Linked DNA regions of Pelodiscus sinensis. The protein of the gene in region 1 interacts with the protein of each later gene in a pairwise test. Links are inferred from orthologs where the notes say so. Each region holds a gene or a part of one and is shown on either strand. Other genes may lie near its edges.

Region 1 (7,857 bases):
ATCCAAATAGAAGCCAAAGACAACATTTAAAAGGACACTCCTCCCCAACATAAGCAGGCCTCTCTCTTAGATTAGGCAGTTAGCTGTCTCAAAGGGATTCCCTCCCCTTCCCCTAGCTTGTTTCCTTTCCTTGGTTTCTCTTGGGAGAAGGTTAATTTGCCACAGTCCATTTTCATCCCTTGCAGTAACATTAGTACCATACAATTACAGGAAGAAATGCATGAAGCAAGCAACTGCCTCTAACCAAGATCTGCAATCACCATGGTATCCAGTTGTCTTTATATATAGAAGCGTTCACCTCACGTTTGCTGTGATAAAATCACCATCTTTTTTCCACAGTCACCTCCACAAAACTGGTGCTCAACAGCAACAAGTGGGGCAAAGGACATCAGGCGTAGAGAAAGCAAGCCATGACAGCCTCCTCTGCACGGAACCAAGGTCAGCAAAGCGACACATGCTAACAGTATCACAGCTCAGTCAACCAAAAATAACTACACATGACAGAGATGGGCAAGCCAAAGTGTTCTTCAGCCTACAGCATGCACAGAACCACCACTAACAGCCCCCTGGCTCACAGGTCGTTTATGTAGTCCGGAGCCCACAGAATAATGAAATGGGGGAGAAGCCAAAGAGGAATTGAACAAATTCAGCTGCGACAGCTTCAGGACAGATAATCAAATCTATTGTTCCAGGACAAGTTCAGCTGTTTCCAAAATTGAAGAGAAATTTCCCATGGCTGAAGAAACACTACAAACCACTCACATGCCACTACTGAATCACAGTGATGCAAGAAACTCTGATCACACACATTAGAGAAAGCTAGGCACATCTGGCTTCCCTAGCCTTGTCCCAAGTGGGACTAGGGGCCGTTTTGGTTTGAGTGGAGAGATTTATTTTGAAAAACATTAAATGAATCACTGGCCACTGTACTGCTAGGGACGCCTGGGGAAGTGACGTGAAAATTAACAGGCAACTAGAGTGTGCATGTCTTTGTTAGCTTTAATTCCAACTAAAAAGCACTGGGCAAGATGAAGTAGGAAGGGAGTCGAGTGGGGGGCGAAGTGGTTCAGTGTGAAATCAGGAGCCAGGACTCTCGGATTCTATTCCCAGCTCTGGGAGAGAATGTGGCCTAGTGGTTAGAGAAGAAGCCTCTGCGTTATTGCTGGCTCGTCAAGCATTCCTCCAGGTTACGGGCTTCACCTCGTAGAGCTTCAGCGTCTCCATTTGGAAAACGAGGCCGATAGCAGAGACCTGCTTGCCGGGGAGCCCCCTCTGCTCAAAACCCACCCGGGGGGGGGGGGGAAGGGAGGTTTGCAGAAAGGCAAAGGGGGGGGGGAGGTTTGCAGAAAGGCAAAGGGGGGGGGGGAGGTTTGCAGAAAGGCAAAGGGGGGGGGATGCTCCTAGCAGGGCCCCCCCCCGGACTCTCCAGCGATGCCGCGCTGGGAAGGTTCGGGCCGCAAACGTCGCCAAAAGCGAACGCGGGTCGGACGCTCCTTGTGCCTCGCGCCGGGCACGTTCCGCGAGCAGCGCAGCGCGGGGAAGCACCCGGGGGGGGGCCGCCTGGGACCCCCCCGCCGCTGGCTCAGCCCCCCCAGCAGGGCAGGGGCCCCGATCCGCTCTTGGCCCCCCGAAGCTGGGGGGAGCCCAGCCCGCAGGGAGCGCGCGGCGCGGAGCGGGGGGGGACAGAACCTGCCCGGGCTCTTCTGTCGCCAAAGCCGCCAGCGAGACTGGCGGGGGCAGCACCGGAGTGACCCCCCCGGCAGTTCCCTCCCCCCACAGCGCCCCTCTCACCACCGCTTCCGCTCAGCCATGGGGCCTGACCCGGAAGCAGAACGGCCCTAACCCCACTCCCGGCCCCTCCCGTGAGCGGCGCCCCTTGCGTGGTGACGTCACGCCGTGGCTCCGTGGGGCGGGGCCCGTAGCAAGAGCCGCGGCCCCCATCGCCCCCCCCCCCGGCCTGGTCAGAACGAGACCGCGGGGCGTTTGGAACGAGGCAGCGCCCCCCCCCCCCCGGGAACAGACTGGGCCCGGCTCCGGGGGGGGGCAGCCGGGGGCCTCCCCCACCCCCTAACGACCTCTCCCCCCCCGCGCTGGGGCCTCTTCCCCCCCCCCGGCCTCTTTCCCCCCTCCGGACTCTCCTCCCCCCCCCGCGCTGGGGCCTCTCCCCCCCCGACTCTCCCCCCCACGGCCTCTTCTCCCCCCCCCCCCCCGCGCTGGGGCCTCTCCCCCCCCCGGCCTCTCCCCCCCCCCGGCCTCTTCTCCCCCCCCCCCGCGCTGGGGCCTCTCCCCCCCCCCGGCCTCTTCCCCCCACCGGCCTCTTCTCCCCCCCCCCCCCCGCGCTGGGGCCCCCGGGCCCCGGCCCCAGCCGGCACTGGGGGCTTCACTGATGGTTTCTGCGGGGCTGGTCCTTTCATGGGCGGCTGGCGGCAGCCCTGGACACGGGCTCGTCTCCCCTGACTCTTCCCTCCTGCTGGGCCCTTGGCAGGAGCAGCGAGGTGCAGGGCTGGGCTGCTGGGGAGCAGCCAACGCACTGGAGTCAAGGGTGCTGTGGGCTTGACAGGCATCAGCAAGGCTCCGTCCTGCCCGCCACACGCAGCTACCTCCATCGCTGGGGTGTGATCCAGCCCCCACAGGCTGCTTGCTGCTCCCCACCCTGCAGCAGGTGCACCGCTCGGCTATGCAAAACGTATCCCTCCCGCCGCCTCATCCAGAGACAGATGCCACATGCTGGGGGTTACCTAGGCTCTCGGTTGTACCGGAGCTACCAAGTACCATGGGGCAGGAGGAATTGGTGTGGCAAACGATTTCCAATCAAAGACCACAAGGCCAATTGGATACATAATAGCAATGTAGCAGCATTATTCACTTTGCAAGGGATTGTTCCTACCGGTAATTGGGATAATTTAGCTTAAGGAGAGTGATTTTACTTTGGTAGGTGGTGCTATGCAGTCAGGGGTTTGATGGTCACTAAACACAGCCTTTCAGAATGTCCCTCATCCCCACTAGGCCAGTCCTGAAAACATTATAGGAGAGGAGTCATGCACGTTTCATTTGTAACTTGCCCTGCCTACCTCAGTTTCTTCCTGCTTTTACAGTGAAGCTTTGGACATAGGCCAATTGCTAAAGAAGGGACTAGAGCCACTGGCAGAAACATAACACAACCATGCTGGTTGCCCCAGCAGGAAGGGGCCAGGAGTCAGCATATCTCAACTCCAATCCCACCTCTGTTGCATAAAGCCTATTTAGCCTTAGCCAGTCAAACGTTAAAATACCTTGACATTTGAGTCTGCCCATGCCCAGACCACAGGAGAGTCAGTCTCCTCAAAAATGGCCTTGGTTCTAGGATTTTTGTCAATTCCAGAACATCATTAGTTCCTTCTAATAGTCATGGTGACCTTCAGTGTTGACAGCAACATTCTGCTGGAGGTATTGCACTGCAGCCAAGGGCGTTTTGCCTGAGAAGAAAAAAACCCAAATGGATCTGAAGCTCTGTGATATACAGGAGGGTGGACCTTTGTGTTGGCTCTGGCTCAAAACACCGGCCCTCAGCCATTAATAGTGCTGATGCCCCTTCCCTCATAACTATGCCAGCTACTCTTCTGTGTGCGCCCAGCCGTTTCAAACCTGCTGATTCAGTCAAACAGCAAACATCTCAAAATGACAAGCATGTATTTTCCAGATTTTTATTACAGGAAAAAAGTGAACTAAGCTGGTACAGCTGGTAAAATTGAGAACATTTCTCACAAAGATTACCTAGAAAGCTCACCCAGAACACTGAGCTAATGCCTAATGTAATGCTTTTTCTGTAGGTATGGCTAGTAACAAAGCCATAATCAGGTATTTAAATATGTAAAGCCATTTTAGAAAGAATGAGGATTTAGGGTGTTTTGTGCATACAATTTTCCACACTGACCTCTGTCTGTGTATTAGCTTATTACCAGTAACACCAGTAAAGTCTAGGGAACACATAATGGAGAAGAGTGTCAATGGTTAAGACAAGGTATGTACCTGATTTATAGACTGGCTGGTATTACCCAACAGAGTATTTCTTCTCTCCACCACACTAAATAGATAATCAATGACTAAGTAATCCTTGAGATCTCTCAAATGCAGCTACAGAAACTGTCCAGCATAGTCTGACTACAACTTTTTAAAATTAGTTACACACACATTAGAACTGAAACATTTACTTTGTAAAAAATACACTATTTGAGAACATTCACCTCTAAATGTGAATTGTCTCTAGGCAAGAGTACTAGGCGAAAATAAATTTTACACAAACTGATTAAAAAAACTCCCAGAGGGGGAAGAAATGAAATACTTTTTTTTCCTGAAATACTGTCAGAAATCAGCCCTGACCCATTTGCAATTTAAGATCAGACCGTCACAAAGCACAGATGATCAGGGAAAAAAATGCTTCTACTTCATCCTCTGTAGATATAGCAAAACCACCTATAAAAGCTTAGGAAGTATGTAGTAAAAATATGAAAAATGGCACATATTGAAAAAGTGTAAGACCCTGCTTTTGTTCAGAGTCCACCTCTCAAAATTAGATAGATGATTACACAAGTAAAAATAGCAATTTGTTCTTTTAGGCAGCATTACCGTTACAAGATTAATACTGGAATTAGACTCTTTGAGATTCATACAATAGCTTCTGAGCTGGAGTATACTGCTAATTTTTGGAGCAACAAGAATTCTTCCCACCATGCTTAATTTCTAATTAGTTGATTCCAATTTAGGTAGGAGAAATGCCTGTTTCAGTGTTGCAAGAGGAAAATGTAGCCAGTTTGGACAATGTTATGGATAACACAACATAGGTCTGGGTTTTGAAACTAATTTGGAAATGTCTTAGGCACTATCTGCCTTAGAGAACCATTGGTGTCATATTAATCAGCGTCAACCCGACCGTTCTAATTCCCATTAAGTCTAGACACACTCATGAGGCTGTGTCTACACTGGCGCGATCTTGTGCAAAAGCAGCCGCTCTTGCATAAAAACTTGCTGCCTGTCTACACCGTCCATGTGTTCTTGCGCAAGTAAACTGATGTTCTAATGTATGAAATCAGGGCTTCTTGCGTCAGAACTCTGCCGCTGCCGCTCAGGAATAAGCCATTTTCCGCAACTGTTCTTGTGCGAGAGGCTAGTGTAAACAGGCAACATGAATTTCTTGCGCAAGAATGTCCTATGGTTAAATGGCCGTCAGAGCTCTCTTGCGCAAGAGAGCGTCTACACTGACAAGGATGCTCTTGCGCAAAAGCACATGCCAGTGTAGACTCTCTCTTACACAACTACTTTAACACAAGAACTCTTGCGCTAAAGAGTTTTTGCGCACGATCACGCCAGTGTAGACGTAGCCTCAGTGTTGTACTAGTGGAAGGTTTTACCCTGCAGCCACGTGAATGCGGCACTTTGGCCTTTGTGAATGTATCCCAAAGTTCTCAACACTGCTTCCTGGTGAATTCTGGTTATCCTGCTGTGGTGACTGATGTGCTTTAGCACAACAGCGAGGGAAATGCTTTCACCAGTTGTATCGTACTACTGTGGTGAGACATTCCCATTGGCATGGTCTTTAGCACCAGCTGATGCAGCTCAGCCAGTAAACTATGAACTTAGGAGATTCCGAATAAGAGTACTGTTGAAGCAAAAACACGCTTCTTTGTGTTTAGGCAGCTAACAAGCAGCTTTATTAATTAATAAAGCACAGCATGAGCCAAACGTGGTTACAGCAGAGCCAGACCCAGTAAAGCTACTAATACAATTAATTTTAGTATTTTTATACCCTTAACCAAACAGTTTGACGTTAGGGCATCCAATTACAGAAATTTTTAATTAAATTTGGAAAAACAAAGCCTTATCAACAAGATGGCGGACAGGTGCGAGGGAGTACATTTTCTGTTCCAACCAGCCCAATTAACACATATCAATAGCCCATTCTGTAGGCCTTTTTTTACGGGGTGACAGAAAGTTTACTTTGGTTTACGTGCTTGAGAGAAAAGCTGAAATGGTTTCTGATATACAAGATGGCTTTTAGCTAAATATGAAAATGGTTTTTACAGCTTCTACAGTACATAGCACTTCTCACGGATTTAACGCTACAGCCATGAGGAGACTCTAATGGAGACAGGACCCTGGAAAATGTATGTTTTAATCGCACTATTTTCATGCCTGGAGAAATAGAAAAGTCTCTAGCCTTTCCTCGGGAACCCTGCATTTCGATTCTGTAATTGCAAAGCTGGACAGAGGGAAGAGCATCTGATCTGATCTCCTTCCTCAGCCTAAAGATATCTACACTAGGGATGTCAAATCCTGTTTAATCAGTTAACTGGTTAAACGTTATGTTTAACTGGCTGACCAATTAAACCGGGCGAGCAGGGGGGAGGCTGTGCTGGAGTGTCCCCCCCCAACCACCACAGATGGGGGCTGTTCCATCTGGGCTTGTGCATCCCTGCCCACAGCATGCCTGGAGCCTGGGGGGGGGGGCTCCTCCAGCCCCCACTGATTAACCATAGCCCACACCCATTATGGCTAAACATTCACAGCCCTAATTTATCCAAGGGATGGTTGGACCGTTAATGCCCCTGATTAAAGTGCTTTTAATTACATCAAGTTTTGAAACTCCCCAAAGGCTGGGTCTAGGCTAAGCCCAGGATTTCCAAAGGGTGCTAAGTGAAAAAAAACTGCAGCCTGAGCCAGCAGACTCCCTTTAACACGGGGGGAGGAAGTGGGGGCTAAGCCAGCTGCACTGTGGTCACAGTTCTTCTTGGTCAGACGATGCCGTTTACACAGCGGACAGGGCTTACCGTCACAACCGCCAGCAAAGATGCTGCCAAGCCGGAGTCTGTAATGCACGTCCAGAGTTTCGAGATGCTAGCAGGAGCCCACACAACAGTTAGAAAGCTGATACAGGGAGACATCTCCCGGGTAAGCAAGAGGAGCTTTTTGTCATGGATTACACACTCCGCGAAGGAAGGAAAACGAGAGACTCAAACAGTTCAGGGCGTTGGGGGCGGGTTTTGTATTTGGTCCCTGGAGTGTGATTTGAACTAAAATGTGCTTCAGAGAGCAGAAAAGGGGACAACAGCCCTGTTGTTTGCCAGCAGCAATTGATTGCTTTTAATTGTTTACCACTGATGCTCCGTCTCTTCTGACCTACCAACAGGAATGTGCACTAAAATCCAGCTGCCACAAAAGTAATTGTTTATGACGACTGCAATGCAGTGATACTATTTTAAAATGTTCACACACACAGATGAACACAATTTGTTGGGAAGAATCAACATGGCTTTTGTAAAGGCAAATCATGCCTCGCCAATCTATCAGACTTCTCCGAGGGGATAACAAACATATGGATAAGCACGATCTAGTGAATATAGTGTTCTTGGACTTTGGGAAAGCTTTTGATGAGGTCCGTCACCAAAGGCTCTTAAGAAAGCCAACCAGTCATGGGTAAAGAGGGAAGGCCATCTTGTGGATTGGTAACTGGTTAAAAGACAGGAAACAAAGGGTAGGAATAAAAAGTCAGTTTTCAGAATGGAGAGAGGTAAAAACTGGGGTCTCCCAAGGTATGTCTACACAGCAAAGTTATTTCGGGATACCAGAGGTCTTTTGAACGTGTCTGCTGTTTCAAAATAAAGCGGACGCGCTATTTCACCATCCCTGTAAACCTCATCGTACGAGGAGTAAGGGGTGGCTCGAAATAGCACTGTATGTCGAAATTTGGCATTGTGTAGACAGCACCAAATGACAAAATGAGCTACGCAATTTGCGTCCCTTATTTCGAGTTTCGGGTGCTATGTAGACGCACCCCCAGGAACCTGTAATGGGACCAGTGCTGTGATCTGGAAAAGCGGGGAA
Region 2 (7,507 bases), on another chromosome or scaffold:
CCACAGGAGATCTGCTGCACACAGAAGCTGCTCTGGTCATCTGGATCAGCTCCTCTCTTATGAGAGCCTGGGTGCCACACAGGCTGGGGTTGCTCCAGCTAAGCTAGAGTAGTGACTGCCTGCAGAAGGGAGGGAGGAAGGGAGTGTGGGGTGGGGGGATGCAGGGGTTATTTCAGCCCAGCCTCAGCAAGTGAGGGAAATGAGGCTGGAGCAGTCCTCCCTCCAACCAACTGTCCCCCCTTTAACCAGTTAAACAAACAGCTTTTTACATCCCTAATCATGCATCATCCCTACTTATACCAAAAGGAAATACAACATTGCCATATGCATACAAGGTACCAGATGTTCTCAAACAGGAAAAATTACAGAGCCTGCAACATCCTACTTTGGAGCTCTTCTTATCTCCCTTCCTTCATTCAAAATACTCGTTAGAAACCATGGATATTAACTCAAGGTTATTTTGTTTTAAATATGAAGTTACCTACAATCTCTTGCATCTGATGAAGCAGGTCTTTGCCCACAAAAGCTTATGCTCCAATGAATCTGTTGTCCTGTGGCACCTTATAGACTCTTTCATTGTTCCTACAATCTCCTACTTGCACCTGATTTAGATTGCAAGGCTTCTTTGGAAGTGATCACAGCACCCACCTCTACCTGCACAGTGACACAGAGGCTCTCTATCAATGCTCAGGAGATCAGCGAAGTGGGTAGGAAAAGAGCTGCAAGACTAGTAAGCGAAGAAGCAACAGGAATTCAACAAGTCAACTGGCGTATATGCCGGTACTAAACGTTATTCATCCCCGATCACGCCTATGGTCACCATCCATCCTAAGGCTGGCTGGAGCAACAATTTCATGATTGAAGCAGCGGCTCTACAGACCCGCATATGAAGTTAATATTTACTCTGTCGTCTCGACCAGCTGATCAGAAAGGCAAACATGAGGCAGGCTTCAGAGCGCAGCCCGAGGCTGCACGTGGCTGTTACTAACACCGCCAGGCTCACACAAGGTCTCAATCGGCGGGCAGAAACCAGCAATAACTGGCAAGGGCAGGGTCCCGTGTGAACGCCCGTCACCCAGGCAATGCGCTCGGCCACGGAAGTGGAGGCCCCGTTAACTCCGAGTTTACTCTCCCCCGGGGACGCCAGACCTGAAGGAGCCGCTCGCCCAGGGGCTGGGGGCGGAAGCCCGCTCGGACCCCGGCAGGCCAAGGACCGTGGGAGGGGGCAGGACACGGGCTGCGGAGCCCGGCGAAAGGGGAGAAACAGCGGGGAGGGGAGCGGGTCGGCACCAGGCTGAGCTCGGAACCCAGCTGCCCGCCCTTGCGCCTCACCCGGCCGCACCGGGCTCTGATCTTCCGCGGGGGCTTCCCGGCGCCGCGCCTCAGCCCATCAGGCTCCCGGGAGAGAGACACACCGGCCCCAGCAGATCCCCGGGCGGACACCTGGCCACGCCCAGCACAGACTCACCCCCTACCTAGCCAAGGCCTCAGCGCTCACTCGCCGGTCTCCGGCTCCTCAGGGGCAGTGACTCAAGGCTCCGCCCTCTCCGCACAGCCAATCCCGAGCCGCACAGGCCCGGTACTGCCCAATCAGCACTGCGCCTGAGAGAGGCGGGACCTAGCCTGCCACACACTAGTGGGACGGAGCGCCGCGGCCTAACCGGCAGCAGCCCAGCTCGGGTCTGCCCCGCCCCGTTCGCGCCAGTGATTGAAGGGCGCCTGCCAACGGCCAATCCCGTGATGATGTCGCCTGCGCGGCCCGGCAAGCCCTGATTGGCCGTTCAGCGTGCGCGCGGGCCCTATTGGAAATCGTCCAGGCTGCTGACATGCTGGTCCGGTGCGGGCGGCCGGGGCAAACCAAACCCCGAGAGAGGGTGGCACAGAGCTCCCCGCGGACACACGGGTCTTGCCGCGTACGTCAGCCTGGGTCTACCCGTGAGATCTGTGCCTCCGCTGGATGGGGATGCCGTTGGGTCTCCTCCAGCGCTGGGTGCTGCTGTGTTTGGGTTTCCAGTGTGGCAGAAGGATACTTATTGTTTAAAAAATCAGAGAATTGTTTAAGTCCATCAAAGTATCTCTCTTGTGTTATTATGATGTAATGACAACAGACCTAGATAGATTATTAGCCAGGATGGGTAGGAATGGTGTCCCTAGCCTCTGTCTGGAAAATGGACGACAGGAGAGGGATCACATGAGGATTACCTGTTGTGTTCCTTTCCTGTGGGGCATCTGATATTGGCCACTGTTGGCCGACAGGATACTGAGCTAGATGGACCTTTGATCTGATCCAGTATGGCCGTTCTTATGTTTTTGTTCTTATGTAACTGGAGGGCAGGAGAGTGACAGCTCCTCTAAGAAATATTATTTCCAAGGGAGGGGAGCAACTCTTGGGGAACAGGGGAAGGATTGGAAAGATTGTGGCCTTCTGTGCCCCCATAAGGCTAATAACTCCTGGTATATTTAGTTTGTTTAAATCAGTTTACTGATTTTTTTGTTTTCTCAAAATTGATTTGACTGTAAGTGCTTTGTAAAGGCTGGCTGGTAACTGGTGTACATTGTTGAAGCCCCTGAGAAAAGATTAAGTACAGGTGCTGGAACTTGGTCAGAACTGCTTCAGAAATCATAGTAAGATGTAGAGCACTGCCAGCCTAAAGCCCCAGACCAAAGGGGAGAGATGTGGGTCTTTTCCTGAGATAAATGATAGCTGGATGGAGCCTGAAACCTTAAGTAGGTATTCTGGAGGAAGATGGGGGGAGGAGAATCAAAGCTACAGTTCATCCTGAAACCCTGACAACTCTCTTTGTCCATTTTAGTTGAATTGAATTGAAAAATGCATCCCTATTTGTCATTTCAAATTATCCTACTCTCATCTTTCATTGGTTATTTAGTAAATTACCCTGTTCAAACATCACTCTTCAGACAAAAAATGCAGTTTAATAGTATTGCTAGAATTCTTAAATTCAACATACTGAGCTATGAATAAAGTAATGTTTTTCAAAGTGTAATACTTACCGAGACAGAGGCAGAAGAAAGTGAGAAGGACTAGTGAAGGAGGTACAGACACCTATCCCTTTCTAGTCCAGCATCCCAACTTTTATTAAAAAGAATAGTCACTATCAGGGTTGCAAGGAATTTTTTCAAAATGTCAAGTGGATATTGAAGAAATATCTATATGATATTGCAGAACACCTTAAGTCCTGAGGTGTGGACTGCCATATTCTTTTCAATGGGTATTAACTTAGGGTGATGCCAGTGACACTTTATATGTCAATATTGTTAATTTAATGTCTCAAGAAAGCATGTAAAAAAGATAAAAGTATTATGACCACCTACAAAAGTACATAATTGGTTTCATTTTCTCAAAAGAGGAGAGGTGTTCAGCTTTCCAAGATTTGAAACATGCTAACACTGGATTAAAAAGTCAATTTAAATTTAGCTTAAAGTTTTAATACTGATAAAACAAGCTTTTCTAAAACCTAAAAAATACAAATGTTTCCAAAATAGAACAAAATGCAAACTGTTGTTTAAAAATTAACATCCCTCTGTAATGGTTGTAGCTGAGAAGGACCTGATTGTTTCTTGTCAGTTTCAAATTTGAAACTTCATTGTACAAGGTATGAGAAGTGCAGAAGTAAACAAAACACGTAAATAGGATTTGTAAAATTATTTAAATTTTAAAGTTAATCTAAATTGATAATGAAACACATATTCATCGGCATAGGTTTGTTTAGTTGACAGTTTAGTTGTTAATTTTAATCAAATTATTTTGCCTTAGATCCACAAAGTGACAGATCTTAAAATTAGGTAAATTCTGCACATTGCATCTCTAAGACGATTCTAGATTACCAGGTATAGTTTATTTTTCCAGTGCATTCTTTGTGTCAGAATTGGTTCTATGAAACTAGGGATGTTGTTTCTACTGTAGTTTAAAACTCCGCTGTGATCACAATTAAGTCACTTTCGTGGAAGCACTCTAGAACCCTGCAGTATACAGAAAGGCTGACTGCACTGAACCGCTTGTACCACAGATGGCCTTGCGTTACATTCTCAGCAACCGTAGCAACCTTCAAGTACATCAGCGTTATCCATAGTAATCCACTCCTGCCTAGATTAAATCCATTTATACAAACTGCCTTAGTCAAACCTCAGGGGTTTGAGCAGACGGAGACTACAGGTTCACAGAGTTCACAGAGACTATGGATCCCACAGTACAATATTCCAGGCGCTTGGACAACAGGCAGCAAAGTGCAAGGCGCTGCTGGACTCGAATAGCCAAGAAACAGCCCCGCAGAACATGCCGTGGTCCTAGTAAAGCCTTCCGAGACTACACATCCCATTATGTTGTTCTCCAGAGGCAGCCAGAGCGCGCCAGGCAAAGGAAGCGGGGCATTCTGGACCGTGTAGTTTCCCTGGCCTGACGCTGTTCTACCCACAATGCCGTGGGAGTGGCCAATCAGTGTGTAGTGGAACAACGTTTGCTGTGAATGGCGGAGGGGCGCTGTTCGCTTCGGCCAATCGGGGTGAGGTAGGTGCTCCCGGTGGGGGTTGTGTGTGTAGAGGACCTGAATTTTCTTCCCTCCTATTGTCCCCCTCCGACGCCCGTTACCAGGCCTCAGCGACGCGAAGCCCGGCCAGTCACGATGCTGAGCCGCCCGGGCCTGTGAAACTTTCCTGCAGCGGTAAGTGGCCCGGGGGACCAGGCTGGATCTCGCGTCGGGTCCTGAACAGAGGGTGAGGCCGCTGGAGGGTACAAGGGTCAGGCTGAGGAGGGGGCGGGGTGAGGGGATTGGGGTTGCCCACGGAGGGGGCCGGCTCAGGAGGCAGCCGGAGGCGGGAGCGGCGAGACCCGGGCATGCACTTTACAGGCGGGAAGGGGTGCGCGAGTGACCGCCGCAGGGGGTGGGTTGGCCTTGGTGCAGCATGGTCCAGACTCTGTAACTTAAGGGGAGGAGCGGTGGGGGTGGGGGCTGCTGAGTTAGCCAGAGCAAACTGTACAAGTCCTAGAGGAGGGATTTCCCCCCGCTAGCAAAGAGGGAAGAAAGTAACCGAGTTATTCTGGATTAAGTCATCTGTTGCTCCTTTTGTAAATTGCGTGTTTATGTGCGGCAGCAACCTTACTAGTTTCTACATTCTTTCAGCTACAAGGTTGGTTTTTTTTGAAGTGTCAGGAGATGGGTTCGTGAAGCTGATGTTTTTCCATGTGTATGAATAATAGTAACACTGCATTCTGAGGATTTTAAAACACTTTACACACACTAATGCATTCTGCTATGTGAGATCAGTAATATCCATGTCTGCAGATAATAAAACAGAGGCAAGATTAAGTTATTTTCTGAGATTTCAAAAATCCGTGGCAAAGATTTGAAAATAATCTAGAAGTTCTGATGTCAAATCAATTTGTCTAACTTAATCCCCAAGTTCTTTCTATTTCAATAAAAAAAGTAGAAACATGGCTTTGCCTTTTTTTAAATAGAAAAACATTGTATAAAAACAACAGAATTATTCATATACAGGTTTGTTGTAGTCTTGGTCCCAGTAAATTTTTAAAAAAACCAAGTGGGCGAGGTAATGTCTTTTATTGGACCAGTTTTTGTTGGTGAGAAACAAACTTTTGAGCTTATAAAGAGCATTCCTTCAGGTCTTAGTTTTCTAAACCTAAATAATTAATGTGGTGTATGCTCAAAAGCTTGTCTCTGTCATCAACAGAAGTTAGTTAAATAAAATAATTATTTTGTAGTATGCAATAAAAGGGAATGAATGACCTTGTGATTTGAGCATGAGACTGGACATAAAGCATTCTGGTTACAACTTTAGGTCTGTTATTGACTGGATGTCTGGTCTAAGGTAAATTAAAGTATCTGTGCCTATAAAAAGGGAACAAAAATAGTTACCTGGTTTACAGGGATTTTGTGAAAATTGTGTGCAGAGTGCTTTGCAAATGTAAAATGCTAATTATATGAAATATTAGCTTCTTATTTGACTTGTACCAATCTTATGGTGTTCTTGGGGGGGAATAACCTTGAAGCAGGTCAATAATACCTGTTCATCACTCTAACAATCTGTGTGAAGGAAATATTAGTGACAGCTACTGTCACACAGAAACTAACATTGGTCTGAAAACTGCTTGAAACTAGAGTAAAAAACAGAATTTTCAGACACCACCATAGATGCATGTGATTTATTGGGGAAGAGTCAACATGGTTTTTGCTGAGGCATGATTTTCCTTTACAATTTGCTAGAGTGCTTTGTGAGGAGATTTATATGAAAGTTGAAGCTTTCACTTTAAAAAATGTATTATGGATACCTGAACTGTATATTTCTTTACAGATTTACTTTTGATATAATACAGAATTGAGACATGTTTCTGGTTTCTGTAGACAGCGTCATCATTAATAAACCAGTTTGTCATCTATGACTGTAATTGATCTGAGCAATATTTGACAATACTTTTATCAATTATTGTGTATGTATATTCTGTAAAGATTGTCAGGCCTAAACATTGTACATGAAGATCAAACAGCTAACAAAAATTGTCATTCTCTTTATATAGACTCTTAAATTTCCAGCTTCACATTTTGTGAATTTCCCTCATTTTGTGAATTCCATTTATCCGTATGCCTCTAAGTACAAGGCAGAATGTTGTATTCTATATTGACTACAGTTTAATCTGAGATTGATTAAAATGAAGTGTTATTAATATTGATTTTTTTTAACAGGTGTTGGCATAAGAAAATGAACTCCACTATGAATGAAGAGCCTGATGCACTAGCAGTAGTTAACCAGCTGCGAGACCTGGCAGCTGACCCCTTAAATAGACGAGCCATCGTTCAGGATCAGGGATGTCTCCCAGGCCTTATTTTGTTTTTGGATCACCCCAATCCTCCAGTTGTTCATTCAGCATTACTAGTAAGTGATCTACTTTTTTTTTTTTTTTTAATTGGTGGGCTTTTTATTTGCTTTGTGAGCCTTATGTCAAATTATTGTCACTGTTCTGCTTAATTTTCTGCCACACCCATTTCAGCAATTAATAACGACAGTCATTTTGAAATACTTCATGGACCTGGGCAGAGAACAAGTTATTATAGATTAATTTACTGTGTGTGTGTGTGTGTGTGTGTGTGTGTGTGTGTGTGTTTCAGAAGTTAACCCTTTAACTTTCGGTATGCGGGGGGAAGCTATAATATAGTTTTTTACACGTAACTGTATGCATTACTTCATTTAAGATTTTCCTTGTGGTTCATGATAAAAGTGACTCTTGAAATCTACATTGATGTAATGCCTTTTCTTTTGATTGGAAGTGGGTGGATAAAAATCAAGATTTTAAAAGAATCATATATTTTAATTCATATTATACTGTAAAAGCTCTGTTATCCAACACTTAATCAGAAAGCTCAATTAACTAGTGTTTCTGATGTCTCCCAATACAAATCTTCAATCTAATAATCAAGGCAAGTATGCTGCTCTGCACGTTATTCCAATATGCAATTACATATTTGGCATTCTACTA

The links.
Region 2: the proteins of MTFR1L (region 1) and ARMC1 interact in binary tests that used the Homo sapiens proteins (3 or more experiments, as listed by UniProt). The two-hybrid records come from large-scale screens. The link is inferred for Pelodiscus sinensis from reciprocal best matches to the Homo sapiens genes MTFR1L and ARMC1.

The regions. Positions count from the first base shown.
Region 1 is NC_134735.1:1,493,857-1,501,713, reverse strand, and holds the start of MTFR1L (mitochondrial fission regulator 1-like), read right to left. Parts: upstream 3,367-7,857; 5' UTR 3,273-3,366; intron 1,889-3,272; exon of another isoform or gene 1,792-1,888; intron 1,767-1,791; exon of another isoform or gene 1,690-1,766; intron 1,226-1,689; exon of another isoform or gene 1,201-1,225; intron 1,175-1,200; exon of another isoform or gene 299-1,174; intron 1-298. UniProt on the Homo sapiens protein: Mitochondrial protein required for adaptation of miochondrial dynamics to metabolic changes. Regulates mitochondrial morphology at steady state and mediates AMPK-dependent stress-induced mitochondrial fragmentation via the control of OPA1 levels.
Region 2 is NC_134712.1:58,844,029-58,851,535, forward strand, and holds the start of ARMC1 (armadillo repeat-containing protein 1), read left to right. Parts: upstream 1-4,257; 5' UTR 4,258-4,484; coding exon 4,485-4,525; intron 4,526-4,531; exon of another isoform or gene 4,532-4,679; intron 4,680-6,716; coding exon 6,717-6,906; intron 6,907-7,507.